Linked DNA regions of Mytilus edulis. The protein of the gene in region 2 interacts with the protein of the main gene of each other region in a pairwise test. Links are inferred from orthologs where the notes say so. Each region holds a gene or a part of one and is shown on either strand. Other genes may lie near its edges. The genes, in order: translationally-controlled tumor protein homolog, Golgi phosphoprotein 3 homolog sauron-like and 14-3-3 protein beta/alpha-1-like.

Region 1 (11,155 bases), on a different chromosome or scaffold from region 2:
GGCCGTTTTAGCACAGCGCTTTTCAGCGCTATTGCAATTCCCCGCTGTCCTATTGCACTGACCGCGTCGCTATCCAACGCAACCGCGTCGCTATATTTTTTTTCGTATTTTTCAAAATTTTCAAATTTCCCGCTTATTTTTCACTTCGGATCACGTGATCGACTGGTTTACAATTTTCGAATGAATTATTTCCGTTGTGTTAAAGTAACTCCGCGGTACCAGTCTAATAAATTTTACAAAATGGCGTTTTTGACAGATCAAAATAAACAAAGATTTCAACATTGACATCTATTTTTATAATTTAAAGAAAATATAGAGGCATATATGAATGAAATGAGATGAAATGAATTGGTCGCATTTGCCGACGTCACTCACAAACTTGTTTTACGAACTTTGAACAAACGATGATTTTAAAAACGATCAAACACAGGGGTTTGTTCCAAATTATTTGCCGGGTTTACTATCCATACAAACCCCGAAAATGAGCAAGTCTGTTAGGTTTTAGTTATTTCCTATTTGAACTTATAATTTTTTTGTCAGAAATTCTACCATTTGATAACAATTTTGAGAGGATATGATTAGAAAAACAAACCCCAAGCTGATACGACTTGAGAAATTTACTTTCTCGATGTCCAGCTTGGATGAAGCCATTTAAATATTATAAAACGTTTGGGTCATAAAAATGAGAAATGTAAATTCCTGTCAAACGTCGTAAGGTTGACAGTACACTGCTACAGTTGGTTACAAAACCAAACAGAAACTGATAATGACTTTATTGTTAGTCCTACATGTTCTGCAACATTACCTGATGGTGCTAAGAAATCTTGGCACAGGCAGTCTGGTGTAGATCCATCTTCAGTTGTATACATAGATAGTATGAGGATTTAATATATGAAATTACAAGGCCATGGAGAAAAAAAACCTCTTCTTCTATATATCCAGACAATAACACGTCGTTAACAAACAAAGCCTCATTAATGGGTACACTGTAACTTCCATGAGCATGACAAGGACATCATAACAAGAGGAAAAATCAACAGCATGATATAATAAAAACACATAACAAATAAATTACAAACAAACTGCGTGCCGCGATAAAGTTACTGAGAATCGTCGAAAATTACGCGCTTACCACAGCGCTATCCAAAAATCCTGGGGAGAACACTGACCATGGCAGCCATCTTGATTGGTTGATTGGGTCACACCACCCATTTTTCTAACTAAATACCCTAATAATGATAGTGGCTAAGTTCGGAAAATCAGATGACAAAAATCTGAATTTCATTATATAAAATTAAATTCACAATCCTCAAAAATTGATCCTATGAAATAGAAATGAAGAACAAAAGTTCTAGGGTTGGAGGGCAACTAGGACCACACATATACTTTTATTTGGCCTTTAATATATATTACTACATGTAAATATACCTTGGAAAAATTGCCAATTTTTGAAGTTTTCTAAAACTTTTTTTACACCTGTGGCTGCTCGCTTTTTGAATTCATCTGCAGCTTCTTTGCCTTTTTCTTCTTCAATTTTAGCTAATAATCTGAAATATCAAAAATATATTTTTTGAAGGATTCAATCATTAAAAACTTAAGTTTAGAAATCTTGATGATCAAATGCAGCATTTGATTGTATTATAACTGTATAGCCATTTAATTTTCTGTCTCTAAAATGCATGCACAATTTATCTTTACATATACAAATGGTACAAACATGTGATCAATATATATAATTTTACAATATAAAAGACAAATTAGAAAGTGTTCAATAATCATGTGTGCATTATATATCTTTCAACTATTTGAATGATCAATTTCAGCTACTTTCTTTATACTTTCTACAGAAATCTGTGAATTGATCAGACATTTGTAGGCCTTATGGATTCTGAATGTTGGTTTCCCCAAATACAAAAAAAAAGAAGTTCTACAGCAAGGACCTGGAAAGTTTATCAATGATACTCCATATCAACACAGAAGTGCAGACTACTGGGCTGGTGAAAAGTGCACTTATAGAATCCTGAATTTTAATTCATATTCAAGGACATTAAATAGTGTAAATAGAAAATCTTTCGATACTGAAATGATGCAATGAAAAAAACTGCCTAGAAATTAAAATGTTTTAGGAATCATAAATTATAAACAGAAGTGGTCGTATGGAGATTTGTTGAACCTGCATGACAAAATTTGACATACACTTTAATATATTCTTTGATAAATGTCTGGAAACCTTTCTTGTCAAAACTGGTTTCTTGAAGTTTGTGACTGTAAATTACATTAATTTTGGTTTCTACTAAGTCTTCTTGGCCTTCTGCTGCCTCCTCTGCTGAAGCGTTGGCTCCAATTGCAGATTCATCAATTTTATTGCTGATAGAAATATTCTACAAAAGATAAAAGTATATTGTAGTTTGTCAAATACATCGTAACATGTTAGATTATATTTTTAATTTCTACCATACATTTTAAGCAAACAGATTAATAAATATTATCTCTTCAAACATGAATGAAAGCCTGAAGATTGTGAATTCTATTCATAGAAAACAAGATAACCTGTTTAGTTCTTTTGCTGGTATTTCCTCCCTCATTTCGATTGTTTTATGCTGGACATCTCACACATAATGACGTTGTTGAAAACTCTTCTGCAGACATTGTAATTCACTTATATTGGTTGCTTACACATAAAAAGCCTTGGTACAAGAATAACATCACACCTCAAAGCCTTGGTACTAGAATAACAAAGCAATTGAGCAGGGTGATATAGATGAAGAGAAGGATGATAATGTAAATAATAATTACCTTTCCCTCAATTTCATAGAAGAAGTCTTCTTTCACAATCATTGGTTCAAAAGCATCACTGAACAATTCATCTCCTGAAAAAAAGTAATACAATAATATATTTTCTCAAGTAATTTTGAAGAAACAAATTTTAAATCATATTTTCACACTAAACATCTTTAACCAGTGTTCTCCCCAGGAATTTTCTAAGGCGCAAAATTCAAGGGCGTGTAACTCTTTTTTATAGTGAACTTTTGTGATCTGAATCAATCAATCAGTCATAAATCATGACATGCAATATGAGTTATAATCTTTTGTGTTGTGTGTTTAATAATGCAAAGTATTAATGAATTACAAGAATATATGAAATAAATTGATTTAAACACAAAAGTTATTTATATTCAGTCCATTAAAGATGTCAAAATAAAAATATTCATCTCTGTACTCCCTACTCCTAGGGATATTGTTTCAAGATAATGCTATTTTGTTGGACAGTCTGTTCCTCAACTTTGTCTTTATCCTCTTTAGGGGTTCAAAACCCCCTCTCACAATAACTTTTGCTGATACCCCCTTTAACATTTCTAAGCCATGAAAACTCAGTCAGCCACTTGTCACTGAAACCAAGAACATGGTGCTTGCTTTTATCACTTGCTAAAACTTTAGCTTGGTTGGGATTAGGGGAAGCAATAATATCCGCGTATACTGACAGCTGAGTGTAGACGGATCGGAGGTGTATTTCCCTGTTCATTAGAAGTCATTGGTCTGAAAAAATACTTCTACTTTCATCATCTGCCTTTTGCTTAGAATTCACCCCTTTGTTATTTGCAGAGAGCATGTTCATTCAGAATTAATAAAATCGAATATGGTTAAGATATTTGGTATACAACTTTTTAAAACAAAAATATTTTAATGAACAGCTGACCATTTTCTGTAGTTTGACATTTATTTACGCTTCCGTGTGCATTATTGTTAAAACCTATCTTTGGCAAGTATATATCAACGAAACTTCGTTAAAGTTAAGACCATTCAAAGTATTTACTGGTGACATTATACAGAATTAAGCTGCGACGATTCCGTACCCGTGTTGATTGTCACATATTTCCCGCACGGATTCACGATTGATGTTCAAAGATCATTTTATTTCTAAAAAAAATATGACAGTTTGAGACCAATTTACCTTGCAAGCAACAATTTTCACTTTCAATTTTAAAGCTGAGATTAGCGATTTCTGCATTTTGACTTTCATTTTCAAAGATTATCACGTGACCATGAGAAAACAGTGCAAATGACCATATTGTAACACCTCGTTCATTTACGATGCAAGTTATCTAAATGTCCGAGAGCTTCCGATTGTTATCGTGGTCGGAACTAAATGCTTAATACCGATCTCCTGTAAAGGAGGTGAAAAATCGTGGTTGGCTTCTAAATGTTAAACATTGATCTCCTACAAAGGAGGTGAAAAAATATAAATATTTGCATATTTGAGTCTCGAGGCCACGAACTCTCTCGTAACTTGACGTCCATTTGAAAGTGAAAGTCAAAATGCAGAAATCGATGGGTCTCTGTGAAAACTGTTTAAATATGGAAAAATAAAGGTGGGCAGGTAGGTGAAACTTACATAAATGAAGAGATAAATGAAAAATGAACAGATTGATGCCCAATTTATATAATTTCAAGGCCCTCAATCAGAAATAGAAGCGACGAAGCAGCGCATCTATTTTGGGTGGGCAAATATCCACTTTTTGATATGGGACGAGCTCTGACGTCCCACGGCCCCAGCTTGTCTGGCAAAACAGCCGTTGGACGTCAGAGTAATCTCGGACTTATAATCTGTATCTGTATTTCCCACTTATGAATATGGATGGGTACGTCACAGATTCCTTTCGCCGTTCGGTTATAATAATTTGTTCAAAGTAGAATTGTAACAGTCTAGTTGACCATTGTTTACAGTCGATCTCTACAGTGATTTCTGTGTTGTTATCTACATTAGCTTTACAACAAATCATTGAATGAAAGTCACCAGTTTTTTCAGCCAGATCCAAACTGGGATAGTAAAGGGAGTGTTTGAAATAGCTTTACAAACCAGCTGACTAATACACTCATATAAAAGATTCTGTTTTCTACTTTGATCGTAAAATTCAGCTAATCAAAATGGCAAAAAATATCAAAAAGTGTATAATTTATTAATTTACCTGATATTTTACACCTGTAAATAATCATTTTGGCTGATGTTGGTAGATTATTTTCTGTTATAAACAGAAGTGTTGCGACACCGGCTGTCAGAACTGGTAAAAGGACCACTTCCGGTTTTGTTTGTCATCAAAACGTTTTAAACAAAGAAGCTTTCTAAAGTGACAGTTCTTCCAATGTGGACTAACTCGTCCCCGAGACAAGTCGTACCGCTTCAAATTGGACCGACTATTAAGTCATAATAGACCGTCTAGGAAGACAACTCGGACCGTCAAATTCATCCAGGAGTAGACATTTTCTGAAGACCGATGATTGGTTTGATAGAGCAGCACATGTTTGCAATGTGAATGTCCTTAATCAGATATTTCCAGCTGGAAAATAACGTGAGGTTCAATTTGTCTCATCTCATGCAGACTTTGTGCCTTTAATATACAAATAGAGATGACTGGTCAAAACTATGCCAACAATTATATATCGTCCCAAATATTTCTTAACTGTTAATTTTCATGGTTAAATACAGGATTTTAGGTCATATATACATGTCATATATAAGAAATCAGAAGCCAATTATTTCTTTCCGCTTTTATGAAGTCGGTGGGGAATAGTAATTAATTTAAATACCGTTTTAACTTTAAAAATGTTGTTTTGCCAAACGAAATAGCATCTATTTAACAAATCTAAAACTTCCACAAGGTACCGTGAAAATTATGCACAAAAATGACATATATCAATAAGACAGTTTCTACCATAAAATGAAGCACATAGAAATATCTAGTGAGATTTGAAATAACACATATGGCGGTGTTTTGCTTTATTACAGCAATAAAGTTGAAAACTAGAAATGGGTTTCCAGAGGGGAAAAAATGGACGCCTTAAAGATGAAAATTCGCTGCCTTATTATCCAACCAAAACTTTGTTGGCAATTACATGTATAGTCCTTTTCAAAAAAAGCTGGAAAGAAATGGGTACATCATAAATTTTTCACTCCCCCCCCCCGACCCCCCCCCCCACCCCATTTTTCTTCTTTTAACATGTTTAATTTAGTATTGGCGAAAGACGAGATTGATGTCGGATGGGGTCTTCAACTGTAATCTAAAGAGGATTTCAAATGTATATTTTTAACTGTAAGTTCAGAACCAATTAGTCGTTCAAGTGGTTTTCGAGATCCTTTAATAGAATATTTTGTAAAATATTCTATGCTAGTACCAGTCGGCAAAGCATGAACATGTTTATTCATAAAAACATTTCATTCTGAAAAGAAATTGATCCTTATAAAAGAAAAATCTCGTTTTTTTTGCCCATGCATTTATTTCCCATAGAAACGTAGAATATATTAGAAATCAGATAACATGCTTAACCCCGCCAATGCTGATTCAATGTTTATATGTGCCTGTTCCGAGTAATCTAATATAACCATATCGAGATAACCTCAGAAGACCGCCGACGGTCATATAACCAAATATAAACATACATTTAAACATTAACTGATATAAAGCGTCCTTGTGCAATTAGATTTTTCTAGATGTGTTTGATATCACATTGTATCTTAAAAGGTATGTTTATCATCGTTTTACCATTATGCAAATTTTTTTGTTGATCGAATATAAGTCACCCAAATGGTTCATCCTGATTTCACTTTACATTTGACATTATTTTCCTTTTAATAGCTCAATACATGTGTAACCTATATCCAGCTAAGGCCAGGGGTTGATACACATGTTCGACGGTCCGTCTGTCCCACTTCAGGTTAAAGTTTTTGGTGAAGTTGAAGTCCAATCAACTTGAAACTTATTACACATGTACCCTATGATATGATCTTTCTAATCTTAATGCCAAATTAGAGCATAACTTCACGGTCCACTGAACACAGAAAATGATAGTGCGAGTGGGGCATCCGTGTACTATGGACATTTGTTGGGGTTTTTTTTTTTTTTTTTTTATCTTATTTTGACAAAATTGACCAAATCGGCTACTAAACGCGAATTGTTATTTCACTATATCACTTTCATTAATAGTTGATAAAAAAAAATCATAATCAAAATGCAATACTGCGTTTTATCTCATAGCTAATGCCCCTTTAATATTAAAATGGCTCGTGAGTAATCATAAAGTTTACGATAAACAGGACGATTTTTTTCATTCCTATTGTTTATTTTCCTTTTCTTAATGTTGATCTTCAGTTGGCTTCAAGATTACTGAATTTACATTATCAATTTTTGTCGATGTATGCGTTTTTTTAAGTAACCAAAACAACAGGTGTAATATCCACCTTTTTGTATACTAAAAGTCCGGAAATGCCTGCATACAAAGTCAGACATATGGCAGTTGTTTTCCATTTGATCAATGTGTTTGAGCTTTTGATTTTACCATTTAGTAAGATCATTTTCATTGGAGTTTGGTATTTTTGTTATTTTACTTTTGCAGTGACATCAGAGGCGGATTTAGGGGGAGGGCAGGGTGCCCGGCCCCCCTTTTTGAGAAAAAAATTGGTTGCTTATATAAGGAATCACTGAAGCGTGACTGGAGCGGGTCCCCTCTTAGGTCAGTCAGTGGGTCCCCACTTATGAAAATTTCTGGATCCGCCACTGGACATCGCAGCTTTCAACGAACCTTATATTTTCAATACTGAAAATTTATATATAACAAAATTTTATCACAAATGTAGTCCGCTATTATAATGTGGAAGTGTGATTTTACCTTCAGGAATTTGAAATTAATAAAAGCAATTTTATAAACGATTAACAAGTTTAAGAAATATCCATCAAATATTTGTCTTTGGTGTTATAGACTTTAATGATTAAATGTGTATACTGCTATTGTTGTACAATCATCGTACGTGATATTATGTAGACTGTATGTTGTTCTATATATTTTTGTTTTTGTTGTTGGCGTCATTGGGTTGCTGTCTTATTTAAGTATACTTCACATGTCATTTCATTCGTGTACGCTTTGTTTGTTTCTATAATTAGTCAATGAGTGACATATTGAAGTTAAGAAGTATTATGTAGATGTAGATGTAGATGTGACATAGTCGCTATTTTAAGACGGACGACAGACAAATGAAATTCAAATTAGGTCAAATACTTTTCCTTGAATCAAGAGGGGGGCAAGGGGGTCCCAATAACAGCAAAACAGCAAATTGATTTGGCTTATAACAGATAACAAAGAATTAAAATGGACAAAAACAGATAACAGTAAATGAAATATTAAAATAAGTCGGGTCCTTGACAAATCCAGTATTTCTTATTACGGGTATAATCCTTTGTAATGAATTCCATTTTCTATGAACATGCCTTTTCGATTTTTTTTTTATTTCCGATTTAATGTTATTCAGTTAAGGGGTTTATTCATTAAAAAAGATGGTATTTTCCAGTTTTCGGACAATAACTCAAAAATGTTCTCTGCAGTTCTCATGAAACTTTGATGTATTGTTTATATACATGATATATATTGACTGATTTTTATAAATATCTGATATGACATTGAGAAGTTATCGAATATTTCCAAAAGGTGACGGGCGTATAATGCACTCATGGCGTAGCTGTTTATTTGTTATGGAATACTTTTTTCAGCATTTATTTTTGTACAAATATCGAAACTCACACATGTTTGTAATTTAAATAATGTGTAATAAAATTGAGATTGGAAATGAGGAATATGTCAAAGAGACAAAAATTATATCTAGTAAAAATTCAAGGGCAGTTATGGTATCAAAGTAGGTCCAATTGACATAGTTCTTGTGTTTGTTGCAATTAAAAAATGACCTAAAAGAGTTTGAATATATATATTCGCATTCTGACTTTTTTTAAATGCCCATTTAATGAGGTGTGTGAATTTTTCTGAATAAGACTATGAGGCAAAGTTGTATATAGGGTAGAAAAATCAAAAGCACCAATTACTAGTATAAGCATGCAATTTATTAAGTAGGACCAATTTTGACACTCCAAAAGTAATTTATTCCACTATTTTCAAAGGCCTTATTTGAACAAATTGTTATCAGGTTTTGATTGTATACCAAGTCTACTAGTAAGTAGAATACATATATATAGTTTAATAGGTGAACTATGGCTTGAAGTTGAAATAAATCTTTAATTGTAATGAGTTACGTGTAGCTTCGGAACCCTGTACATGGTGGGAACTTTCATTGTACAATGTATTTGGTTCTGCTTTGAAAAGAGCTGATTCTATGTACCATATAATATAAAAGCTTTTACGAAGGATAATCATAAGATATAATGGAATTGTCCTGGACCTCACTTTTGTGATGGGTATATGTTAATGGAATCCTTCTCCGAATACGGGACCAACATATTAGTTAGTGGTAGACTCCAATGTTCAATGATCTTCAATTTCTACCGAATTTTGGCTGTCCCAAAAATGTTAACATCCCAATTTTCAATAACAGCTAACAGCAAATACATTATCACAATAACAGATAACAAAATAACTAAAAAACCCAATAACAGCTAACAAAGAATGAGACAATAACAGCTAACAAAGAATGAGACAATAACAGCTAACAGCAAATATATTTTCAGAATAACAGATAACAAAGAATTAAAATGCCCCATAACAGCATAACAGCTAAACCCCTCGCCCCCCCTCAATCAAGTGAGAAAACGACCATAAGACAAACAATGGTATACAAAACCAAATATATAAAACTAGACACTGAACAACATTAACTCCAACAGAAATTGGCGGTGATCTCATGTCCTCCGAAGGTGTGAGTAGAAATCCTATTCCACATGTGGCACCCATCGTGTTGCCTATGTTAGTACAAACCTGGTAATAAGTCTAATTCAGTAAAATGACGATATTGTGGAACCTTACGGTAGCTGTAATATCTCCATTTTCATCTATGATACAGAAATTTAATAACTGTCAACTAAATCGTGATGGCGTACGTAAAATTTACGAAGGGATGATTTCAACTTCACCACTTTGGATCTTTTCGTTTGCCATCTTCATTGTGAGCAGCAACCATCTAATGATCATGATAAAGGAAACGCAAGCCTTAGAATATAGATATAAACTGGGAGATTCTAATTACATATACTCCATATGCAGGCGCTGCCGGAATGTTGGTATACATAATATAAATGGAAAGTTCAAAATTGGGAAGTTTTGTTCACATGACTGTATGCTACCAAGTTAAACCAAATGAAATGCAATTAAGTCCAATTGATTCAGGAGTAACTACATGATTACATTGTAATTGTGCAAATGAACATTTCCTAATAGGCTTCTTTAGAAGACCTCCTCAAATTAATTCGTTTTCAACTTTAAAACCAAAGTCTGCAAACTTTAACTTAATAACAATTAATGACAAAGGGCTACATGATCCTTTACTATAGTTTTGAAAACATTTGATTTACGATTTCCGAGAGATGTTACGAACAAATTCATAAGGGCCTAAGGCATAGAAAGAAGAAAGAAAACATATAATAAGAAACGGATCAAATTAAAACAATAAGTCTACCAACTTAATGATCTTTGTCCTATTTATTAATTCAAAAGAGTTAAAACTCAAGTTTCGATGTAGGTATACTCTTCTTAACCAATCAGATTGCTTGCGAGTGGATCTAGAATACCATACGAGTCTTGAAATGACGTTAAAGTGGAAACTGATGGCACATATTTACGACGGCGGGGAGACATCTTATACATTACAGGCCATGATACTCCGAAAAGATCTTTTCTGAATGAAACCCGTCTTCCTGTGCCAAACAATCCACTCCTGAACGAAAACAAACTCCTTAAAGACCGCTTGTATCTACCATGCTTAGACGAAGGTGGACGTTTGTCGTTTGACTGTATATGATAAATATCTTCCGATTGTTGAGTTGCAGCATTTACCATAGTTATCACATCCGCAGAAACAATTTTATGTGTAGTTTCTCCAGATTCTAGTCTTTCTGTAGCTGTCAAATTCTGTGAGTTGGGCGTGTTGCCTTTTTCATCAGTCATTGTTATTTTGATCCCTTTGCTTTTTGAATTTCCAACTAATTTTAAACTCTTAAGTTGCTCAGAAATAAGATATCGCATCATCCTTAACTTGATACCATTTGAAAACATTTCATCATATACGAAAGACTTGTATAATTCATGAAAATTGGAAGCCTGAATTCCAATACCATCAATGTTTGCTAAGGCACTTCTGGTAATCAACTTGCCATTGATCGTATTC
Region 2 (11,855 bases):
ATTTGAACAAGGTGAACCAACACCTGAAGTGGTTATCGTGCGGTTGGGTAATAGTGGGTGGATACCAAAAGGTATTCACAGTTGTCTTTCACTATAAGAGTAAAATAAAACAATAAAGACAACAACACCCATCAATTACTGCATGGTAAGAGTTTATTCTGGTCGACATGTTTCGCCAACAAGGGTGGCGTCTTCAGGACAATATTACACATGAAATCAAACAGTGAAGTACAAATTTTGCAGTTGTGTGGTTCGCCAAACAATAGAGGTTGTTATGACGATGTTATAGATACATATAAAAAGTGAAAGTAAAATAAGAATATAGTATAGTTAAAAGTGAAAGTTAGTCAATAAAGTTATTAACGATGTGGTTAGCTGCTATTCTTACAGGTCTGACTGTGTAGTTGTTCTCATGGAGGTTTCTAGTGGTAATATTGTAGACATGATGAAAGTAGATCATAAAAAGTCAGTTCATTTCCAAATAGGACAACACCCCACTGGCCATCCCGTACCAAATAAACTGGCTTCGCTCCGAGGGAGGAACTGCTTCCAATTGTGATGGTGATAGGGTGAAGTTTTTACTTTCTATTTATATCTATAACGTCGTCATAACAACCTCTATTGTTCGGCAAACCACTCAACCGCAAAATTTGTACTTCACTGTTTGATTTCATGTGTAATTTTGTCCTGAAGACACCATCCTTGTTGGCGAAACATGTCGACCAGAATAAACTGTTACCATGCGGTAATTGATGGGTGTTGTTGTCTATATTGTTTTATGTTAGTAAAAAAAGTCTAAACCGGAAATGGTATGAGCTGTTTGCCATGGAAACCCCTAAGCATGCTAAGGGCAAGGATGCATACAACTATAATATATGTACCATTTTATATGCTGTTATTACAAATAACTGTAAGTAGTCTATGAATAATGTGCTTCAGAATTTATTTTTTTGCTGTGGGGGGTCTTCCCCTTTGGTTGGCACCTACATGTATGATTGCTGCACAAATTTAATACTGATTGAAAATAGACAACACTTACTGACATGTATATACACTGTATCATGTATATTTTTTCTAGTTAAAAGGAAGACAACTCTTTGGAAGTAAAATTGACAATCCTAGTCCATTTAGAGTGCCTTCCACATGCAGGATTCAAACTCACAACCTCAGAATTGAGAGGCTAGCAATACAGTAGACTAACTAAATGTATTTCGATACCTGGACACTAAGACACCCCTATTTAAAGATCTAGTTTTTAGTCTGGTCCATCAGGAAATCTGCAAACTTCTCTGCCTACAATTAAATTTTACATATTTTATCATCAAAAAGTTTAGTACAACAGTATGGAGTACTTCACATACCACTTAAATATTCTATCCAACTTTGAACTGTTTCAGCGGGTTCTGTCTCTTTAATGTGTTTTAATGCTTCATCCAGTAAGACATCACCTGTAGGAGCAGGATTCTTTAGAAGGATTTTACGATTAAGTAAACTTCTTCTACGCATTCCTGCTTTCTCAAGTTCTACCCTTCCTCGTAACCCAAGTTCTATTAATATACAGCCTCTCAGACCCGATGATATACAGTCGTTCCAGAATGATGTGTAACCCTGTAACAGAAATTTTTGCATGTACAATAAATGTAACTCAAAATAATCATTCAGCTGTCAAGTTTGAAGAGTTTTGTTTTATCTAATTCAGCATTATTGTAGGGTAAGCCACGCATAAAGATTTTTCCTATTTGTACATTGTATTTCAATCTTTTCCCTCAATTCTAATCCTGATTCAACTGTAATCTGAAAAAAATTATAAAAAAACCATTTTTCTTTAATTAGCTTTAGTATGTATAGAATTGCACGATCTGATAAGCCATAATAAGTCAAATAACAGTTAAAGGATGGAGTCAGGGCTCACGCTACCAGGCGACTTGGCCTTCCCGACCCTCACTTCGCTTTCCCCGACCCCCAAAAGCGAAATCAAGTCGCCCTGTTCTTGACGATACTTGCTTTCAGTCGCTTCCGTCATCGGACATTTTCAATTTTTACCAAGTTGATGAAACATCAATTTTTTATTGATAATTAAAGAAATTCAGACATAAACGATTCATTATCTTTAGAAAAGAGATTGAAGCATTGTCTTCGCAGTGTGTAGTAGGTTATTTGATAAAAATACAACTTTTTATCACTTCATGCATTTTCGCAAGTTCCGGTGCTTGTTACTCGAAAACGTACATCAACCTAAATTTCGGCGGCAAAATAAGTTTGTTACTTCATTTAAACGTGATAAAAGTTGCCTCCAGTAAATGTTTAATCCATTTATTGCATTAAAAACGTCATGTTCCTTTCCAAATAACTTGTCAAACATTGTTTATTTTTGTAAATTTTCTTGCATTCATCCGCCATTGACCGATTTCTAAACTACGGATCTGAACCGGACCAGCTATGACCGAAATCCGTACTTTTACAATAATTACTACGGACGCACGGACGGAACAGCTGACAGAAGAATATTGATCCCAAAGGGAAAAATTACGCATTCCACACACATTAAGAGACTTTTGGTTACATCTAATTGATTGGTGTATATAATTCCCTATATATTTTATGGATTGTTTCAAACTATTGATTAAAGTTGCTTAACTCTGAGACTATTATACTAATTTCAATATATTATGGCCCAGCTTAATAACTTTTATATTTTTTTATGAGAAACACTGAATTTCATACACAAGATAATTTTTAATTAAATTGTAATAATGATATATTATAATTTCTTAACATTTTTTAAAATAATTTTTTTTTTTAGTGCTAGATATTTAGTTGGAATAAGTTTGTCACAAGAACCTTAGTAAAACTTAAACAACTTTTAATTTCAAATGTTACTTTAATTGTATTTTTTTTTACTCAGATATGAATCGAACAATATAAAAAGAACATTATTTGCATATGGCCCTTTATACTATTGTAAAATCCAAACATTGTAACGCACCGCGCGAATGAGCACTTCTCTTTCAAATCTCACAACTTCTCCCTATCAGTTTCAAAAAGAGAAGTCACTTCTCCCTATAATTCTGAAGTAGTGTGAGCCCTGTGGAGTCAATCAATATTTGCATATTTTTGTGTCATACTGATTTTCATTTTGGCGGCCATCTTTCTTTTTCAATTAAGGCTCTGCATGATCAATGAAATTATTTTAAAAGGGGCTGCGGGACGGCACAGTCATGTTGACCTGGGAAAACACAGCTGAATCAGCTTCATGACTGAAATAAAATTTAGAAGATGTGGTATGAGTGCCAATGACGCATTGAGACAACTCCATTCAAGTCAAAATTTGTTAAAGAAGAACCATTATACCATTGTATACTATACGTTCATTTATTTTTGCAAGTACAAATTTTCGTGAATTGAGGTAAACTTGCATGTTCAAGGATATCTAATTTCGTACAGTATGCATACAAGCCTTGACACTTTGTGCACAAAAATCAGTACTAGGCTAAATCTTTTGTCTAGGATAAAGAAATCCCTCCCCCTAGAAACACGAAAGTTATACTTTAATGGTTATATTCTCCCTATTTTGGATTACTGTTGTACAATTTGGGAAAACACCAGTGTCAGACCAAAATACAAATAGATTAGATAAACTTGAAAAACGAGCAGCTAGAATTATTCTTGAACTTCCTTATGATACCCCATCTAATACAATGTTTAAAAAGTTATCATGGCTTCGATTTACTGATCGTTTAACTTACCACAAGGCCTTATACATGTATGTTCATAGATGTTTATATGGATCTGTCCCAGAATATTTGTCTAACAAAATCTCCTATGTTACAAATAATAATGGAATGCTACTTAGATCAAATACTACCCAATTACTTAATATACCAAAGGCAAGAACAAACACATTTAGAAGCTAGAGCTTTTTCATATTCGGGCCCAACTTTATGGAATAAACTACCAGAAGCACTAAGACACATGTCAAACATACTTTTAAAAAAAACTGCTTTAAGTTTTTACTTGAAAATCCAGGAATTATTTAAATGACTATGTATCAATTTTGATTATGTTTGCTTATGTTTATCTTTGTTATGAAGAAATTGTGTGAATTGCATTGTGAGTGGAGTGTGAGGGCCTCAAGGGAGAATAGTGTTTGTACTAATTGAGCATACCCTCTTGAAATAAAGATTATTATTATTATAAGCCTAAGGAAATTTTACAGGAACTTTTGAGATGTCTTATAACGATAAGGTGTATTTTTTCGACATGCAACTTCAATCAGTATCTTGTGTAATATTTTGTTTTACCTAGGGTTTTATGCTCTACATATGGAGAAGGATAGTGATGCCATGCCTTTTGTTTATGCGTCAAACGGTTAGTTTCTGCAACCCAACTGTTGGTGTCAAATTGGTTAAAATTTTACTTGATTCGCAGAGGTCTCAAAAACATTAATATCATTACAGTAATTTTTGGAATTTTTTTTATCGTCTAAAAGAAAGTGTACATCTTATAGTTATGCACAAAATATTGACATTTACATCATTAATGAATTTTAACTGTGATTCGTCATGAGGTTGCCTCCATTTACAACCCTCATCACAGGCAGTTTTTTCTATCCATGAGAAGACCCACTTCTATAAACGTAAATATACATTGATAGAAACAAGTGCCTGTGACCCTCATATAGGCAGGGCTGCCAAGTCTCACGCATCTATAAACGTAAATATACGTTGATAGTGGGTGTTCCCATGGATAGAACCTAGTGCCTGTGACCATCATATAGGCAGTAGTGCCAAGTCTCACGCATTTAGCATGAGACTTCATGCTTTTAAGGCGGCGTTTTTCTTTAAACTATTGTTTTTTCTCTTTAATCTTTTCAATTTTGGCCAAATCTCACGTATTTGCTTCATGAAAAGTTGGCATAACTGTATAGGGGAACAAGTTATGTCTGTCGACAAATGTGGAAATAGCAATTCTTAAAACACATTCATTCTAATGTATAACCTCTCTGTCTTTCAATCCCAACAGTAAGATTTCTTCCATTAAAGTTAAACGAGTTTCTTTTGAGTCGTGTTCCTCTTCTTCATCAGGATATCCAGAAAGATCTTCCGACTGCTCACTAGAATTTGGTTCATCTGTCCTTACATTATTACCGCGTCGTTGGACTAAGCCTCCACCTCTCTGAGAAGCCATTGTATCTATTTTACTGCATATAAAAGGCCAATAAGTTTGTTTAGCCTAAGAAACCTCAGTCACTTGCAAAGTCTGGCCATCAAAATGGCCGTCTTCGTTGACGTAAACATCAAAACATCCGAGATTTTCTAAACAATTTTAGAAACATTCTGAATTTAAAAATTGTTATCCAATTTATTTTTTTATCGTTCAAATTATCATTTTAATTTAAAAATATATTAATGAAAATTAAAAAAACAAAAATATTTAATACAATCCAAATCTGTTTTACGTTTTTATGAAAATACTAAAAGTTAGATCAATTGTCGGTTATATTCCGGTAATTATTTAATGTGGCGAGTTTTGTAAATTATTAAACAGACGTCAAGTATATTATCATGTCTTTAATTACTAGTATTGTCATTCAATTTCTGTTTTCAAATATTGAAATATGAATTATTATTACCAACATAAGAAGGACTGAGAAGGAATTTCCAATATTTAGATACAGAGACCTTTGTTTTTGCCAAATTTTAACTTGAATTTAAATTAATAATATGAGGCAGGCATTACCTGTAAATGGGGACGAAGTCTGTATGAATTATTATTTTGTAACTCAATTATTTGTAAAAAAAAAAAAAGACACGGAAATACAGTAACGTTTCCGATTTTGGTTCTGTTGTTAGGGATTTTAGTTGTGACGTTATTTAAATTATGACGTCATATGCAATGTAAACAAGAAACGCTATCATTAGGTAACGTTTTTTCATATCAAGGAATTATCAAAAATGAAATAAGTATTGCGCGTTCCTTCCTATTTTAAACTAGACTGATAAATATATATTTTACTCAAAGTTTCATACAAACGAGACCGGAAAAGGGAAGTATATTGTACATTTCTGCGCAGGTCCGGGATTTCAAAACATGACATAAAAAAAATTGAACGATTTTGAGTTCATTAGTACAATGAAAAATTCGGGAAATTTTCCCGAATTTTTTTTTTTATTGAATTTTCTACTGTTATTGGGGACTTCGTCCCCATATTACCAACATATAAGATGGACTGAGACTTTCCAACATTTAGATACAGATCAGTGGTGGATCCAGAAATTTTCATAAGTAGGGGCCCACTGACTGCCTAAGAGGGGGCCAACTCCCTTCGCGCTTCAGCCTGTGGTTCTCTATATAACCAAACAAAAACAATCACAAAAATCCGCCTCTTTTGGTTTTTTTCCAAATTTTGAAATATAAATTAATTTTACCAGCATAAGAAGGACTGATAAGGACTTTCAAATATCTAGATACAGATACCTTTTTCCTATCATGATTTTCTTGATAGACCGGGGTTGCTGCTCACAAGGAAGCTATTAAACCAAGAGTTCAAAATGGTGAAGTTGAAATCATCCCGCTTCGTAAATTTTACGGACGTCATCACGAGTTGGTTGACCGTTATGGAATAACCGTTTCACAGATGGTATATCGGATATGTTCCTTACGTCGTAACTACAATCCCCTTCCCTTTCATGAATGTGACTTACCGAATTAGATTATTTACCGGATTTGTGATAACATGAGCAACAACACGGGTGCCACATGTGGAGCATGATTTGCTTACCCTTCTAAAGCACCTGAGGTCACCCCCAGTTTTTGGTGGTGTTAAACACACCCGTAAGAACACATTTAGAGTATGCAAGCTCAGTATGGCATCCATATAAAATAGAATATAATGACATGATTGAGAATGTGCAGCGTCGGGCAACTAAACAACTACCAGGATTAAAGAATTTAAGGTAGATCATCGGTATATGTTTCCTGAGATAGAATTTTATTATACTTTGCCAAAATAAAGATTTTACTGTGCTCTTTTTAAAAATATAATAAAAATTATGGGTCACCGTTTTATTTTTCATGCTATGAGTCTTTGAAAATTGCCTAAATTTGCTTAGAATGATCATGAAAAAAACATTTTGTGCCTAAAAAGAAATCTATGATATAGAATTTGAAATAAATTTCGAGAAGATAGGTTTTATAATGTTTTTTAAAGGAAAAAAAGAAAGAAAAAAATGGTATCAGCTAACTTGTTTTCTAAATTAAAAATTTCCCGATCAGTCCAGTATATTTTTTTTTACTAAAAGTGTTATCTCCCCTTAAATAGCTTAGTTAAAAAAAAATGATTCTAAAAACCAACACAACTATTTGATACTTGTTTAAATAATTTAAATAATGCAATAAACCAGCAAGTTTTTTTCATATTAATGAACAGTCTTAAACAATAAAATTGCACATTTGTATACAAATTTGCAGATTTGGGCAAATATTTAGACTGATTGTGTACTGCGATAGTGCAATCCAAGATGGCGGTATACCATGAAACTACCTGAACATACTCAGAAAGACTGCAAAAATTAAAACTACCATCTCGAAAATAGAAGGGTCCGAGGTGACAGGATTGAAATACACAAACTACTGAACGGAAACTATGAAAGAGAGGCGGCACAAATTGTTAAATCATGGAAGGATATGACTACAAGCACAGGGATAAGGGGCAACAGTCTGAAAATATTTCCACAGAGAGCCAGAACAGAATTAATGAGAAATGCCTTTGCTCTACGAGTGCCGGGTGAGAACATGGAATGCACTACCCGATATTATAGTGTCATCACCAACCACAGATACATTTAAGAATAGACTAAACAAATACTGGATGAACCAAACAATGATGTACGAAGCCACTATAGAGCAACAGTCACCGGAAGTGGAGAAGATTTAGTTAAAGAGACTGATGAAGAGGAAATTTAGTCCCTGTATAAGTAAAAGAACCTAAGTAAACCTAAGTAATAATTTTTAGTTTGAAATAGTTTTTCGTGTTCTGATGAACGTTTTTGAAAAGACAAACTATAAAAAGCATCATGCAAAGTTCTTTCTATTTTTTTTTTTGACTGAGATATATTGGTGATACGCTGTCACCCAATAAACCATATTACACTCAGATAGTTTTTCATATCATATATCCTAATAAACTTCAAACTTCTATCGTGCAGCTCGTCTTTAAGTTTGCATTGCCGGTTTCCAATACTGTCTTGGTGTATTTGCGGTTTATCGGATAGACATGCTCTTTGGTGGGTTTTGAGCTGATTTGGAGGTTTTGATGTAAGAATCCGAGGCTTCAGCTACCTTTTCATGTCATGCTGTTTGTTTGTGTTCACTCCAATCTATAGATCATTTGTAATGGTGCAGCCTATGTATTTGGTTGATGATTAATGTACCAGAGTGTGGCCGTGGTTTATCTTGAAATTCAATATATAAAGCAGACTTTCTAATTTCAGTGTGTACCCAGAAGACATAGGAATATACCTTTCTGATGCATACTGTCTCACTCATTTTGGAGTTCGTGTAATTCCCTTAGTTTGTTTCCTTTGATTTGTATCTTCTTATGTTATGATTTTATGGGAATTAAACATCAATAAAAACATTGTTTGCATCGAATATAAGCACTGTCACGCAGTTCATTCCAAAACTAGTTTTCAATATAATACGGGTTGTATATATGTTCTTCTCGTATAGCTTATAATGGTATGATACTAAGCACCTAATGGGAGGGATTGTGCTTTATTTTCATATGATTCAGACATAATCTTTCCATCAGTTAAATTGAGGTCTATATAGCTGGCATTTCAGAAACTGCTAGTAGTCGTTTGTTAATCAATGTTGATTATTATACCTTTGGCTAGTTTCTTCTGTTACATATCCTAACATCGAACTCGACTTCTAAAAAACCGAGGTTTACTGTGCGTTTTGCTTTGTGACACATTCTCCGTTTCCATTCTCAATTTTACTGTTGCCTCTTATTTGCGTATTTTGTTTCTTTGCGTGTTCTCACGTTTGAACTTTCGACCAGCATTTGTTTTAATTATGCACAAGTTTATTGAACCATTTATATGTTCCATGTACCAACAACGAGTCGATTGCCTTATGCTTATTTGTCTTTGTCATCTTGGAAATTGGGTGTTGATTGCAAATCAAGTATTTTTTTATAAAGAAAACACAATATTGAGCATATGTTTTACATTTCATGGACCTATAGGTTTTCAAAAACTGGTAAACTAGTGCTGCTTTCTGGAGTTTAAATGACCATGTAGTCGCCAAAAAGTCATACACTACTAGTTCTACATATGCACACACATTTGTGTACTAGTAATTTTACAAAATACATGCTCTGCTGCAATTTCTTGAGTAAAAAGGTTATACTCAATATTTTAAATTAAAAATTAAGCTACTTTTTGTGGTTAAAACATTTATTTTAAATTGCCATTCATGATATTTGCTGGTTTCAGAAGTTCAAAGTCATAGTTATCTGGCAGAAAATACAATATCCGAACAGATGTGGTATAGATAGATCATATATACATGTAGATATGTGCAATTCTCGCGAAATATGTCTATAACTTATTTATATCTGATAATATAGGGTTATTGCATGAATATTGGGGAATATTGTCCCGAGTAGAATTTTATATTGCTGGAGCTTGCAATATATGTTCTACGAGGGACAATATTCCCCAATAGTCATGCAATAACCCTTTTATAATTGAGTTTTATTGTATGGCAATATATATTTGAAAGTAAAAATTGGTTTAAACTGAGATTGTGTCGTTGATGACGTCATGAATTTTAAAGATTTATTGCACGCTAACTTTTGGTTACTTTCTGTGGGAAAATATTATATTGCTATGCATAAACGGTCTTTAACAACAATCACATGTCTTTACCTATTATATACATTTCTCCGTTTTCTTCACAATTAAGTTAAACTTACACTAGACAACTAGACAGTTGTAATTTACTAGAGTGCAAATCAAATAGACACGAGTCCACTCAATTGATCAAAAGAATAAAAGATTAAAAACTGTTGGGCAAGTACAATTAAAGCAATCTGTATTAAAAATATGTAGTCTTAATATACTGCTGTCTAGCATAAATATGAACTTGACTACAGGTCAAATATATAGCCCGTTAATCGTCTACGTGCATTTGAAAAAAAAACCAACCGTATGTCCCTACTGTTGGTGTTGGATAGTAGGTGCATATTTTTTTTTATGCACGTAGACGATTAACGGGCTATATACCTGACCTGTAGTCAAGCCCGTATGATTTCTTCCCCTGTAACTGTGTCGTATGCCTTTTTGAAATATACTAAACTGTCAAAACTATTTTGACAAAAAGATCCTTCAAATCCTTCCCTCAAACAAATTGATCCCATCCGTGTTTCAACACATGCAACTTATCTCAAGGACACAGAACGGCAATACTGTTTTAAGGGATGACCTGGTCAAGGATACGACATGTTACAAGCCATAGTACACCACATCCGGTTTAAAAATATAGAGAAAAAAAAATAAGAATATTTCTGAGTCATAATCATTCATTGAGCTTGAGAGATGTTAGGCACCATTCTTTTTTATTTGCATGGCTACTGATACTTTTAAACACGAAAAGGAAGTTGAGGTATTGTCTTATTTACTTCAGGGAAGTTTTCTTTCTTAAATGCAATCATCGGTCACGTTGTGTGATATTTTTCTGGTAGTACCCCAAAATATCAAACTCTATTCGTTCCAAGCATTTCTTTATATGAAACATCAGAAAAACTATTTTCCAGTTTTAAAGGGGGAATATGATGGCCGCATGATTAATTTACCCCCAGTAAACTTAGATTCAATTAGCGTATATCCGTTTAACTAATGTATACAGTTGTTGTCCATTGCGTAAGGGAGCAACCATTTGACTTCAAAGGGTTATGGTTTTTTGTCTGAGTAAAAAAAAATCGTGCAGAGCGCAATCAATTTTATTAAGTTTTTCAACGATTTTTTTCTCTTTTTTTCTAATTTTTTAAAACACTATAAGGTATGCATATTCGCCACCCAAGAGTTATACTCCAGTCCCATTCTCTTCAGAGAGGAGGGGAGAGTATCTTTACCCTTGGCTATAATAGCGAAGATGAAGGTACGGGGGAAATATAAATTCAGAATAATATACTTTTGTCGTCTGCTTGACCAGAAATATTTTTTCATCAAATTGAGGATCAGAATACTTTTTTTGGAAGGACACATGACCTCACCCTTTGAAGTTAAATGGTCCGATGCTGCATGGTCCTCCCATTACAATGCGGGAAACAATTTACATTATATCATGGAAAAAGTGATATTCATTTCATGTACAAATTGAATCGGCTGAGTAAATCAAATCAAATAATGTTATTGGTGTAAATTCCAATACCGGAATCATGATACCAGCTGACAATGACAAAATATACAAATACACAAATAGACAAAAATAAACAAAAAAAACAAATATACAGAGACATATTTTCTCAATGATTATCTATGTTTGACATACATGCTACAGTTATAATTTAGAAGTAGGAAAAAAACTGCTCTAGAGATCTTTAGGAAGTTAACCGAAGATATACATACATGCATGCGTAAAAAAAACCATAACGTACAATACTATCTTGCAAACGAACCTAAAAAAAAAAGAAATCTTACATAAGAGCACTTAAACATAAGTTTTTATTTTACATGCTAGCATATGTTATTTCAGAGACATATATGTATGTCTCTGGTTATTTGTTGTGAATCAAATATATTTGCCATGATGGTATCACATTCAATATTGAATTTCGCCGCACTAAA
Region 3 (11,525 bases), on a different chromosome or scaffold from region 2:
ATGTATTAAGAAATGGGGTCGAGGAGATGATGAGACTGACTGGTTTATTTGTGTTTTAGGGAGACTGACTGGTTTATTGGTGTTTTAGGGCCACTATTCATTTGAGAAAGCCGGAGTGCCCAGAGAAAACAATGACCTTCAATAGGAAAACTCACAAATCTAGTCAATGAAGATTGGAGTTGAGTGAACCCATAGGAGTGGGCTAGAACTCACAAACCTCAGTGTTGACTGGCTTATGATTTCAGTTTAAGAACTACTTAGACCACTTAGCCTCGAATGATGAGACTTTGTAGATTTCAACATCATTATTTACCTTGTTTACCCTCAGCCCCATCCTCATCTGCAACCTCTGCCAGATATCGCTAGTAATCTCCCTTTATGAGGAGATCAATAGATCATTTGAGTACAATGTATTTACCTTGTTTACCCTCAGCCCCATCCTCGTCTGTAACCTCTGCCAGATATCGGTAGTAATCTCCCTTTACGAGGAGATCAATAGATCATTTGAGCACAATGTATTTACCTTGTTTACCCTCAGCCCCATCCTCATCTGTAACCTCTGCCAGATATCGGTAGTAATCTCCCTTCATTTTTAAATAGAACACTTTGCTTTCATTTCCACTATCTGTATCTTCAGTAGCTTCTTTTAATAAATGTTCATCAAGCAGATGCTGTAAAAAATGAAGATTTAAAAGTGAATATCTACTTAAATGTTGACAACAGTGTGTTGCATAAGTAGAAAATTTCCCAAAGTAGGATGTCGTTCGGAGGACAAGCCTGCAGGTGTTAACAATTGGGATGTTAACCTAAGGCGATGGTAGATAATTGTTCATGTATACTATAAGTTAAAGTACATTATGTACATTTAACAATAATGAAATTGTACAGGGGCATAACTCTACATGTTCTAGAACAGTAAATGTGATGCCACCCTGATTCACACTTGAACTGTGTTTTGTTGAAATAAGTGTTGTTTATAAGTGACATAATATTTGGTTGGGTTAGGCCAAATAAAATTTCATGCTTGGTTCCAGGTACCCGACCAACCCTAGTTGAAACCCCCCCCCCGACCCTAGAACTTTTTTTTCATTTCTAAAAATAATTTTTCAAATGATCATTTTTGAAGATTGCGAATTTGATTAATTAAATTCATAGATTTCAATCAACTGAATTTCCATCATTAGTATCTGTTATCAGGTTAACATGCCAGTCTGCACCAAAAACTTTATAACTACTAGTCCGAATACCAATATTCTGACATTTTTCTTATTTGGCCAAACAAAGTTTTGCAAAAACTTGCTAGTCCGAAGGAAATTTTACTAGTCTGGGGCATTGGACTAGTGGCTAACCGTGCAGACTGACATGCAACAATTCATATCAGAAGGCATTCAAATGAACTACAAACATACATGTAACAGACTGTTTATTTTCCAAACAAACATGTAAAATGGTGAACTTCTGGTTTGGGCTTGTATAATACCAGAATCAAATCAGGGGAACACCAGATTTTTTCCAGATTTTGACAATCCAAAAAGAAATATTACAAAAGAAATTTAAAAAAAATGCCGACCTACTGAGTTACTTTTTAATAGGATGTAACTGGAACCACACATAATAGAAATAGAACAGAAACTAATTTTTGGAATGGACAGACCCAACTACAGATGGACAAGGGCAACACTGCACACTTGGCTGTGGTGGGTCCACAAAAATTATAAACCCATTATTTCTTCTCATAATATTTTGTAAAACAAAATGTAAGTTCTATGGAGACCAAGCTTTAATATAACACAAATATGACTATTTGAATGCATAGATAACAAAACATTTCATATTTGTTTCACTGTTTTGGTGACAACAAAAATTAAATCTTTAATAAAATATTCTGCAAACTGTTGGCATCTACAGTAACAAATGTACACTGACATTAAGTCAACTTCACTGAAACAAAGCTTTTTAAAAAATGAAAATCACTCTCCCTTTTAGGCATAAGTTTTTTTTAAAGAAATTTCCACTTTCCTGGCAAAGCCAGTGCTCAAATGTCTTCTACCATAAGTTACATATAACCAGTAGTCTGATGCCTAGACTAGTAAAATTTTATTGAGACCAGTAAGTACAAATAAAATGTGTTTGCAAAAATTTATTAAGTCTTTAAAGGAAAATGTTGGAATTTTGGTATTCAGTTTGGTAGTGGGAACTGGAAAAAGATTTTGATGCAAACTGCTGCAGCAGCAAATCCCCCAACCAGATGTGAAAAGTGCATACTCTACTTAACAAAGCTGCCAAACTGAATACCAAAATTCATGCATTTTCCTTTTTGGCTTCTAAAATTCCAAATTTAAAATCATAATACAGTCCTTTTTAGAAGCCAAAAAGAATTTGAAAACAAATTATACACTTGCAAGGTTTAAGGTTAATTTTAAGTGCAGTTGAAGGGCCTTTTTTTTTAATTTGTATCAAGTTGTTGGCTTTGATTAGGCAATGCAGGTAAAAATATACCAAACAGCAGTCTGCACGATTAGCCACTAGTCCGATGGCTAAGACAAGTAAAATGTCCTTTGGACTGTTTGGCTCTATAATAAAAATGTTTAGGATATTAGTCTTGGACTAGTAGTTGAAAAAAGTTTTTGGTGTAGCCTGAAGAAACAGTTGAGAGAGCGAAGGTCTATTAACTTGCATTCCATACCATGTGCATTTGTACAAGACAAGTCAAGACCTGACAATATAAAGTCCATAGATCATGACCAGAGATGAGTTAGTCGGGAAATTTTTTGTTCTGATACTGATAGTAATGCAACCTTTTAGAAAATATCTACTTTTGATCTAGTTCCTACGAAATTGACTCAAACAGAAAAGTTAACATTAAAAAATTGCTTATTATTTCAAACTCATGATCAGTAGACCATGACCTTAGGGGAAGTAAGTTTTATTATAATCAAGTTATAAATTGAAAAACACCCCTTGTCTCGGCTTCCTTATTCTTTCCATTCAGATCCTTTTCACAATGTACATGTACATATTATATGGCAATATGCTGTCTAAAATTAAATGAACAATAGGAATAAACACAACCTTTTCATCTTCTATACAAATACAATTGAGAATGGAAAAACAAGGAATGTGTAGCAGAGACAACATCCATCATCAAAGAGCAGAACATTTATAACTGTCTTGTTACTGTTACAGAATGGAGTGAGTCTGTAGATATATTGACTAATTGATTGTTGTAAAAATACTTCCATCATGCACATCAAGGTTGTATTTAAATAATAGACCTGGTTATATATTGTTTTTTCTCTTGTACTTTCAGTTTGTATACATAGGGAAACATTAATACTAGCAATTTAAAAATACAGCTTAGGAAAAATGAGACCTATCCCAAATTTTGAACGATTCAAGCTATTATCTCATGTATTTGTACGAAGTGCACACTCAGAAATATATATATAGTGCATTAAGCCTTTTTAAAATCCTTTGGTACAAGAACCTTCTTTTATTTTTTATGCATTTAACTACATGTATAACGTCTTAAGTTGCATACACCTACAGACTTCATATAAATGCAAGCCAAGAATAATGCATTTAAAAACTGCTGGCAATTTTAATATGGATACTAGTACTTCATAGTGGAAAATCACACAGGTTTGTCATTTTTGCATAATTTATGCAGAGTGCTCCATTATATAATCAGTGCTGCCAAGCTGTTGATTCTGTGAACAATAAGATAAATCATTGCATACTGCATTCAAGATGTCCACGGAGTGTCTAGATCTGCAATAATACTGCAGAGGAGATGATGAGCTCATGACTCATGCAAAATTTTTACATTTTTATCAATGACGCGGATGAATATACAAACACATGCCAATTTTATGATGATCCAAATTCTCGTCTTCCTGCACATGCAAAAACGATGCTATCTGAATCTGTGTATTGCGATCGGGTGTAGAATATATTTTCTTTGATATATAAACATCTATAACTTAAAGAAAACACAATAAAAATAAACATGCAATGAAAACTGCACGCAAAACGACACAACAAGAAACATCCGTCAACTTTCACTCACCAGAACGTCTTTGCAAATTTCTTGGAGTTCGGTTGTTACTTTGTTTTTGTAATCTTTAGCCAATTGCTGTTTCTTTTCTGTGCCATCAGTCTTAGATTCTATACTTGAAATTACTCTCCATGATGACCGCCGGGCACCAACAACATTTTTGTAGGCAACGGAAAGTAGATTCCTCTCCTCGTTGTTCAACTTCCTAAACTTTTCGACCACTTTTTTCATGGCCTCGGCCATATCATCATACCTTTCAGCTTGTTCAGCTAACTTAGCTTTTTGAACTAGTGTCTCGCGTTCCTTTTTATCTTCGACTTCCGACATGGTTAAAATATTTGTAAATAATCGAAATTTGAAGTCTACTACTCTTTACTCTATCTCCACCTTCCCAATATGGCGGAATACACTAACCAATCAAAGTACAGGTGACATCACTGATTCTTCCGCTACTCCTTTATTTTCATGGACTAAAATGATAAAGTTTAATTGTTTATATTCTATAAAAATATGTCAGGGAAGATTAATTCACTAAAAAGAATAAAAATAGTTATCGTTTGAATAATCGAATATATTATGCAGTGGGACTATTTTGCATCAAAATTCCTAAAACCTGGAAGTGGGTTATCTTCTCTTGAATTCCATTTCTTTCGATAGATTTCGGGGATTACATTCTTTCGAAAAGGTAGCCCTAACGTCACTGTTGCTATGTCAACTCCTAGCCGGGTGTCGAAGGTCAACGTTGTTAATAAATAAAACTTTACCATAAATTATTTTCAATGATATTTTCGAATTGGAATTGATAAAAAGTGTAATAATTTTAATAAAAATATTTTTTTAATTCAATTCCTGAAAACAGGAATATTTCCTTATTTCCGGTTGAAAAAAACACGTGTGTTTGTGTACATTTTATTATCAAGATGCCAAAGTCAAAAAGGGACAAGAAAAGTATTATTATATTGTTGTTTATTCAAAGAACTGCTTATACACACTACAAAATACAAATAAATGTTACAGTCATTTTGTAAAATCCCTGAAATTTTAACAGTTTGAAAATATTTGGGATTATAATTTTATACTATAGTTATTTTTTACTACTACTAGGTACATTGTATGAGTGTTTTTATGGGGGTTACGGTACTTTCGTGACTAACAAGGGGCCTCGGGGGCCGAGTGGGATAAGAAGTCCGATTCTAGCTAGTCAACGCTGAGGTTGTGAGTTCGAACCCTGCTCTTGCTGGTGCAAAGGGTTGCGTTCAATATCGTTCAATATTGTAGGGGCTATGTAGTGCTACGTAGATTTATGACTATTGAACTAGTAGCTAGCCTATTACTATGTAGCAGCTATACTAACTACTTGTTCAATAGTCATCAATTTACGTAGCCCCTACGATATTGAACGTGACCCTGAACTCCAATCTTCATTGATGTTTGTCAGTTTTCTTATTGAAGTAGTTACATTGTGTAACTAAATTGTTCAACCTTGTTTCACTTTCAATTTTGATATTTTTTTCATTAATCAGGTCAAGAATAACCACCAATTGGTGGATTATACCTCAATTGATGTATAATCCACCAATTGACATATAATGGTATAGACCAATTGGTGTATAATTCTTTGTTTTTCAAAGCAAATTATTCCACCAAAATGGAGCATTGTCTTCTTAAAAACATATTATGGTATGAAAACTTGTAAAACATTCCTAGTTTAGTATAGTGACATTACATATTGCATTTCAGTGGCGGATCCAGAACTTTTCCTAAGAGGTGGCCTGCTCCAGTCATGCTTCAATGATTCCCTATATAATCAACCAAATTTTTCCCACGAAAGGGGGGTCCTGGGCCCCCCAGGGCCCCCCTGGATCCGCCTATGAATTTAATCAATAATTGTATTTGCAGTTTCTTATATTGTTATATATCTTGTCAATTCTTGATTGGCAAATTTACCACTAATCACCTGTCAATGGACATCAATACTGTCTGCAGTCATGTGATCATGAGTACAACTCCACAGGTGAATGGAACTCTTTGTTTTAAATACTTCACTTTCATTATCAAAAGTCAATCATGGTCAATAGTACAAATGTTTCAACAAAAGAACTGTTGTACACATGCATTCTCAAGAGATGCAGCAGGCTTTGGCAAAACTGAAACTTTCAGAGGACTCAATAAAGGTCATAAAATAGGTTGCAAGTTGCAAAATCATGCTCCTATCTCACACTAGCATTTTCTTACAAAAAACTCCCATTATACATCAATTGGTCTATACCCATATATGTCAATTGGTGGATTACACGTCAATTGAGGTATAATCCACTAATTGGTGGTTATTCCTGACCTGTTAATATCTGAATAACTCAGTCATATTAGTATATGCCTTACCCAACTCAGCAGGGATAGAATTTAGTTTAAAATGTTGTTAAGACCACAGGTCTAGAGTAAATTTGTTCAGCGTAGTCCTGATAAAAACAGCCTAGCCCTAAGTCACCGATGAGGGTCGCGTCAGCGACCTGAACCTTCTAGCAGGGTTTGGGGGCATGCCCCCCCCCCACAAGAAAACTTTTCAGAACTACATTCTATTTCCTGCTATCTGAGACCATTCTGAATGTAAAAATGAGGTCTCATAATAGCCAATTTATGGAGTCTCAAAAAAGAAAGAAATGGAAAATAATTAAGATAACTATATTTAATTGATTTTTTTAAAGGCAGTGCTTTAAGGCATAAAACTTTGAGTTTTTGTGTCTTTCAAAGCACGAACAATATACAAAATTAGTTGCAGGGTAAAGACACTAAACTCATAAGTAGAAAAAAACAATACTTGCAATATGGTGACATATAGTTGTTAATTTCTGTGTCATTTGGTCTCTTGAAGAGAGTTCTCTTATTGGCAATCAGACCTTATAATGGCTTATCTTCTTCTTTTTATTGATTGCATTTAAAAAAACTTTTTTCAACTTAAAAAAAAATACAAAATACAAATCCAATGAGAATACAGGCCTATCAGATGGTACTCATGTGCAGAGTGTGATGAGACTAGCATTGATGAGAACTAGAACCTAAGTCCTGTGACATGACTAGATTCAGTTGTACTTGACTCATATTTTTAAAAGTATTTTTTTAAAAAAACCGTCAAATTCTGTTATATTGTTTAAATTCGTTTTGCTCCTTTAATAAACTAAAAATGAAAAAAGGTTATTTTAAATAGAAATTTTTTGGACAAGTAACAATTTCATTTGGACAAGTAAATTTTGGTATGTACTTGTCATGACAAGTTGAAAAAAAAGTTATTGGTGGTGTTGGTTTTCTTTCCTCCATTTGAAATCTAACCATAATTAAATTAGTCCAAAAATAAACTTCTATGCATATTTGGTTACACAAATTTAGTTTTGAGCCTGTTGATAACCAAATTTATAATTAAATGTTATTTTTTTATTTTACATATAAGGCCACGGTTTTTTAATTTGTTGGTTTACGGATTTTTCGCATAAAAAAGTCGGGTCGGTCGGTCGGAAAAAAAAAGAAAAAAAATATCTTTCAAAACAGAAAAAATATGCAAAATAAATATATATTTCACCTTACTAACAAAATGTTTATCTTATATGCTGTTTTGTCATCATTTCTTAACATTAAGTTCGATGAAATATTATTGATCAGTGATCATGAACATCGCATGACATCGTTTAATAATTTCCTGTAAAAAAAGGGGGGTTGCACGGACAAACACGAAATTAAATCGTCATTTCACAAACAAGAAAAACAGATTCGCGTAGCTCTCAGAAAACTTGGTGAATAATGATCTTCAAGCACAAAAACTGATAAAGAAAAAAAATATAAAAACGTCGTACAAAAATAAGTTTCAACACACGTGTCGAAAAACGTAATAGACTCGTCCACTGGAAAAACGACAATATCGGGTTAATCAGTTGTCATGCAATCCGGTTTTTATCCCAATGATTGATATTTTTTGTTATCTATGAAACAAGAAAATTTCAAATGATTTGTTAATATTCAGTACTTTAATTGATGTATTCCACCTGTCCACATTGGGCCATTCCAGTTAATATCTGCTAAAGGAGGATGGATGGTCCTTTCTGAGGGGTGTAAAATTTATACATCTTAGGGGTGAAATTTTGGGTTTTTTCATCTGACACGTACACATATACGCAAAAATTTCTGAGGGTCTTGCAGCAGAAAATAATTAAAAATAATTACATCTTAGGGGTTACAAAAAAAACCTATTTCAGATCTTAGGGGTGCTTTGGAATGTAAAAAAGTTTCGTATCATGCATTATCTGGTATTGTATTTAAAATTCTGATGGGTACAATCCTTGCAGTAAAAAATTCTGATAGGTCAATTTTTCCCATGAAAGCCATCCACCAAATATGAACAGGAACTCTAAATCTGATAGGTCTTAATTTATAGATCTGATAGGTAGTTTTACATGATGTTTTTTTCTGATAGGTATGAAAAAAAATCTCCCCATCCATCCCAACCTGTCAGAAATTAACTGGAATGGCACATTTGGACAAGTCTATTTCTCTGAGATGATGCATCTTACGGACTGATGACAAATAAGGGAAACGAACTAATTTGTAATTGGTTTTAAACACAGGTTTCGTTACGCAAAATTATTTGCGCAAAAGACATTTCAAGGTCAGTTATAATTGATTTGTCTATTTTCAGAAACGTAAATTGGAAGTTTTATTTTTCACAACAGAAAGTGTTATCAACTTTGTTAATGATTAATGCATTTCATTTCATAATAAAGGAAAATTTTAATTATTTTTCAGGGATAATGCATTTATAAGGGTCGGCGGGAATAAAAAAGCATGAAAAGTCAATTTTATTTTTATTCTGAAAATCGGCAAAATCGGGTCGGCGGATCCGTAAACCAACAAATAAAAAAACCGTGGCCTAAATGATGCTTCAAATGTTTTATGACTAACAAAATGTATATGTATCTTTTTAGTTTCATTAACACAGACAAAGAGGAAAGGTTTAGAACTGAAACAGAGGCTGATAGATGATGTAAGTACTAAAAACCAACAATATTATATAATATAAAGATAAGACAAAGAGGAAAGGTTTAGAACTGAAACAGAGGCTGATAGATGATGTAAGTACTAAAAACCAACAATATTATATAATATAAAGATAAGACAAAGAGGAAAGGTTTAGAACTGAAACAGAGGCTGATAGATGATGTAAATACTAAAAACCAACAATATTATATAATATAAAGATAAGACAAAGAGGAAAGGTTTAGAACTGAAACAGAGGCTGATAGATGATGTAAGTACTAAAAACCAACAATATTATATAATATAAAGATAAGACAAAGAGGAAAGGTTTAGAACTGAAACAGAGGCTGATAGATGATGTAAGTACTAAAAACCAACAATATACTGTAAATTCAGAAATTAATGCGAGGATTTTATTATTGCGAAAAATGTGACAGAGTTGTAAACGCAATAATTTAAACTCGCATAAAACAGGATTTTTCTCAAAATCATAAAAATTAAAATCGCATATAAGTTTTAAATTACAAATCGTAATAATAAATGCACGCTATAATTTCTGAATTTACAGTAATATAATAAGAAGATAAGACAAAGAAGAAAGGTTTAGAACTGAAACAGAGGCGGATAGATGATGTATTTGCTAAAACCAACAACATAACATAAAAGTAAGGAGATGAGGTATGATTGACAATGAGACAACTATCAACCAATTTTGATCACATGGTATGGGTTTTTCTCTTTGTTGAAGACCATGCATACAGTTGCCTATAATTGCGTTCATCCACTTTATTTGAACTTTGGTAGATAGTTGTCTCATTGTCAATCATATCACATCTCCTTATTTTTATACTTTTTTCTACTAGTGTGATAAAGCTGTGTTTCTAAATTTAAATAAAAAGTAAAAACACAAAAACACTGAACTCCAAGGAAAATTCAAAAAGGGAAGTCCAAAATCAAAAGGCAAAATCAAAAGTCCAAACACATCAAACGAATGGATAACAACTGTCATATTTCTGACTTGGTACAGGCATTTTTTAATGTAGAAAATGGTGGATTGAACCTGGTTTTATAGCTAGCTAAACCTCTCACTTATATGACAGTCACATCCAATTCCATTACATTGTCAACGATGTGTGAACAAAACAAACATACTCAAAGAGTAAAAATGTCAAAAATAGGGGTACAGCAGTCAACATTATGTTATCATCTTAATCACTATAAAAACAACAAATGTAACGAAGAAGCACAAAAAGGCATACATCATGTTTCAATAAAATGAAAATTGATGAAAACTGTTTAAAAATTTCTTTAACCCTTTACTCCATAATGACATTTTTTGACGCCACCCCCTTTACTCCATAATGACGCCTTTTGATGCCTGTGTAGTGCCTCAGTTGAAACGTCTTACCTAGGAAAAATCTTTATCAGGCCTAAATTAAAATATTGTTTGTTTGCCCTTTTCCGACCCTATGTTTTGAAACAGGGTAGGTAGGTAGGTAAAATATTTTATTTTTTTCCCCAAAAAAATAACTTGGCTCGGTATATTATTTGTCATGGGTAGGCAGGTAGGTATAATATTTTATTTTATAGATGCATATAAATGTCATTGGTGTCCGTTTTGTTTTTGCAAATAAGTTTTCTGGGACTATTAGTTTAAAAAAAAAATCATGTAGAATGTGAAGCTAATTCATATGCACTACTATTTTGTTTTCAAATATAACTAAATAGAGCTGTGCCGCATATCTTCAACGTTTATATGCCTGAACTTTGAAGAGTTTGAACTTGCACTTATATTCTGTACTACGTACCTTGTATGCTTACCTTAAGAATTTCTGTAAAAGATAACTTTGTACTGATAATATATGTCTGAGCAGACATACATCACTAGTAGAAAAAGTCCCTAGAGTGTTAAAAACATCGTGTGTGCCTTTGTTTCCAATAAAAATGCTACTAGACCTAAAACTCTGACAATTGTCACGTTTTTTACATCGCATTTATAAATGATCTGTATGGACAACTTGGCGATTTTACTGCCAGATATTCTCCACTTTACAGGGTTTTGTCACTTTTGGTTCATGTCAGATATAAATAATATAGCGGCATCGTTAACATAATCATCAGGAGATCTGCGGATCACAAAAGGCCATCCCTACATAGAATACAACGTCCGTTTACAAATTAGTTTGTACACAAGATGATAATTTTGTATCAAACGAACTTTTTTGTAAATGAACCATGCTCTTTTAAGTTAAAGGTACAGAGTAGGGTACGTCATATCATGATTTCAGAAAGCGTTCACAAGCTGAACATCGATTTCAAACAAATGCTTTGAAACTTCAAATGTATAAGTGTTAATGTCAAACGCTCAGGTGATACCAAACGGACTGGACCTTATACGATAAAGATAAAACCCGAGAATTCCGGATAAAATAGTTTTGAGCGGGAA

The links.
Region 1: the proteins of Golgi phosphoprotein 3 homolog sauron-like (region 2) and translationally-controlled tumor protein homolog interact in binary tests that used the Drosophila melanogaster proteins (3 or more experiments, as listed by UniProt). The link is inferred for Mytilus edulis from reciprocal best matches to the Drosophila melanogaster genes sau and Tctp.
Region 3: the proteins of Golgi phosphoprotein 3 homolog sauron-like (region 2) and 14-3-3 protein beta/alpha-1-like interact in binary tests that used the Drosophila melanogaster proteins (3 or more experiments, as listed by UniProt). The link is inferred for Mytilus edulis from reciprocal best matches to the Drosophila melanogaster genes sau and 14-3-3zeta.

Annotation. Positions count from the first base shown.
Region 1 is NC_092346.1:46,577,754-46,588,908, reverse strand, and holds the start of translationally-controlled tumor protein homolog, read right to left. Parts: upstream 5,122-11,155; 5' UTR 4,996-5,121; coding exon 4,968-4,995; intron 2,871-4,967; coding exon 2,797-2,870; intron 2,382-2,796; coding exon 2,197-2,381; intron 1,548-2,196; coding exon 1,429-1,547; intron 1-1,428. UniProt on the Drosophila melanogaster protein: Involved in calcium binding and microtubule stabilization.
Region 2 is NC_092347.1:27,682,036-27,693,890, reverse strand, and holds the start of Golgi phosphoprotein 3 homolog sauron-like, read right to left. Parts: upstream 5,308-11,855; 5' UTR 5,188-5,307; coding exon 4,999-5,187; intron 1,609-4,998; coding exon 1,362-1,608; intron 1-1,361. UniProt on the Drosophila melanogaster protein: Phosphatidylinositol-4-phosphate-binding protein that links Golgi membranes to the cytoskeleton and may participate in the tensile force required for vesicle budding from the Golgi.
Region 3 is NC_092355.1:77,870,342-77,881,866, reverse strand, and holds the start of 14-3-3 protein beta/alpha-1-like, read right to left. Parts: upstream 4,729-11,525; 5' UTR 4,671-4,728; intron 4,528-4,670; 5' UTR 4,385-4,527; coding exon 4,070-4,384; intron 672-4,069; coding exon 524-671; intron 1-523. Other genes in the region: mRNA turnover protein 4 homolog, read left to right, coding at 4,978-5,005, 9,028-9,086. UniProt on the Drosophila melanogaster protein: Required in Raf-dependent cell proliferation and photoreceptor differentiation during eye development. Acts upstream of Raf and downstream of Ras, and is essential for viability.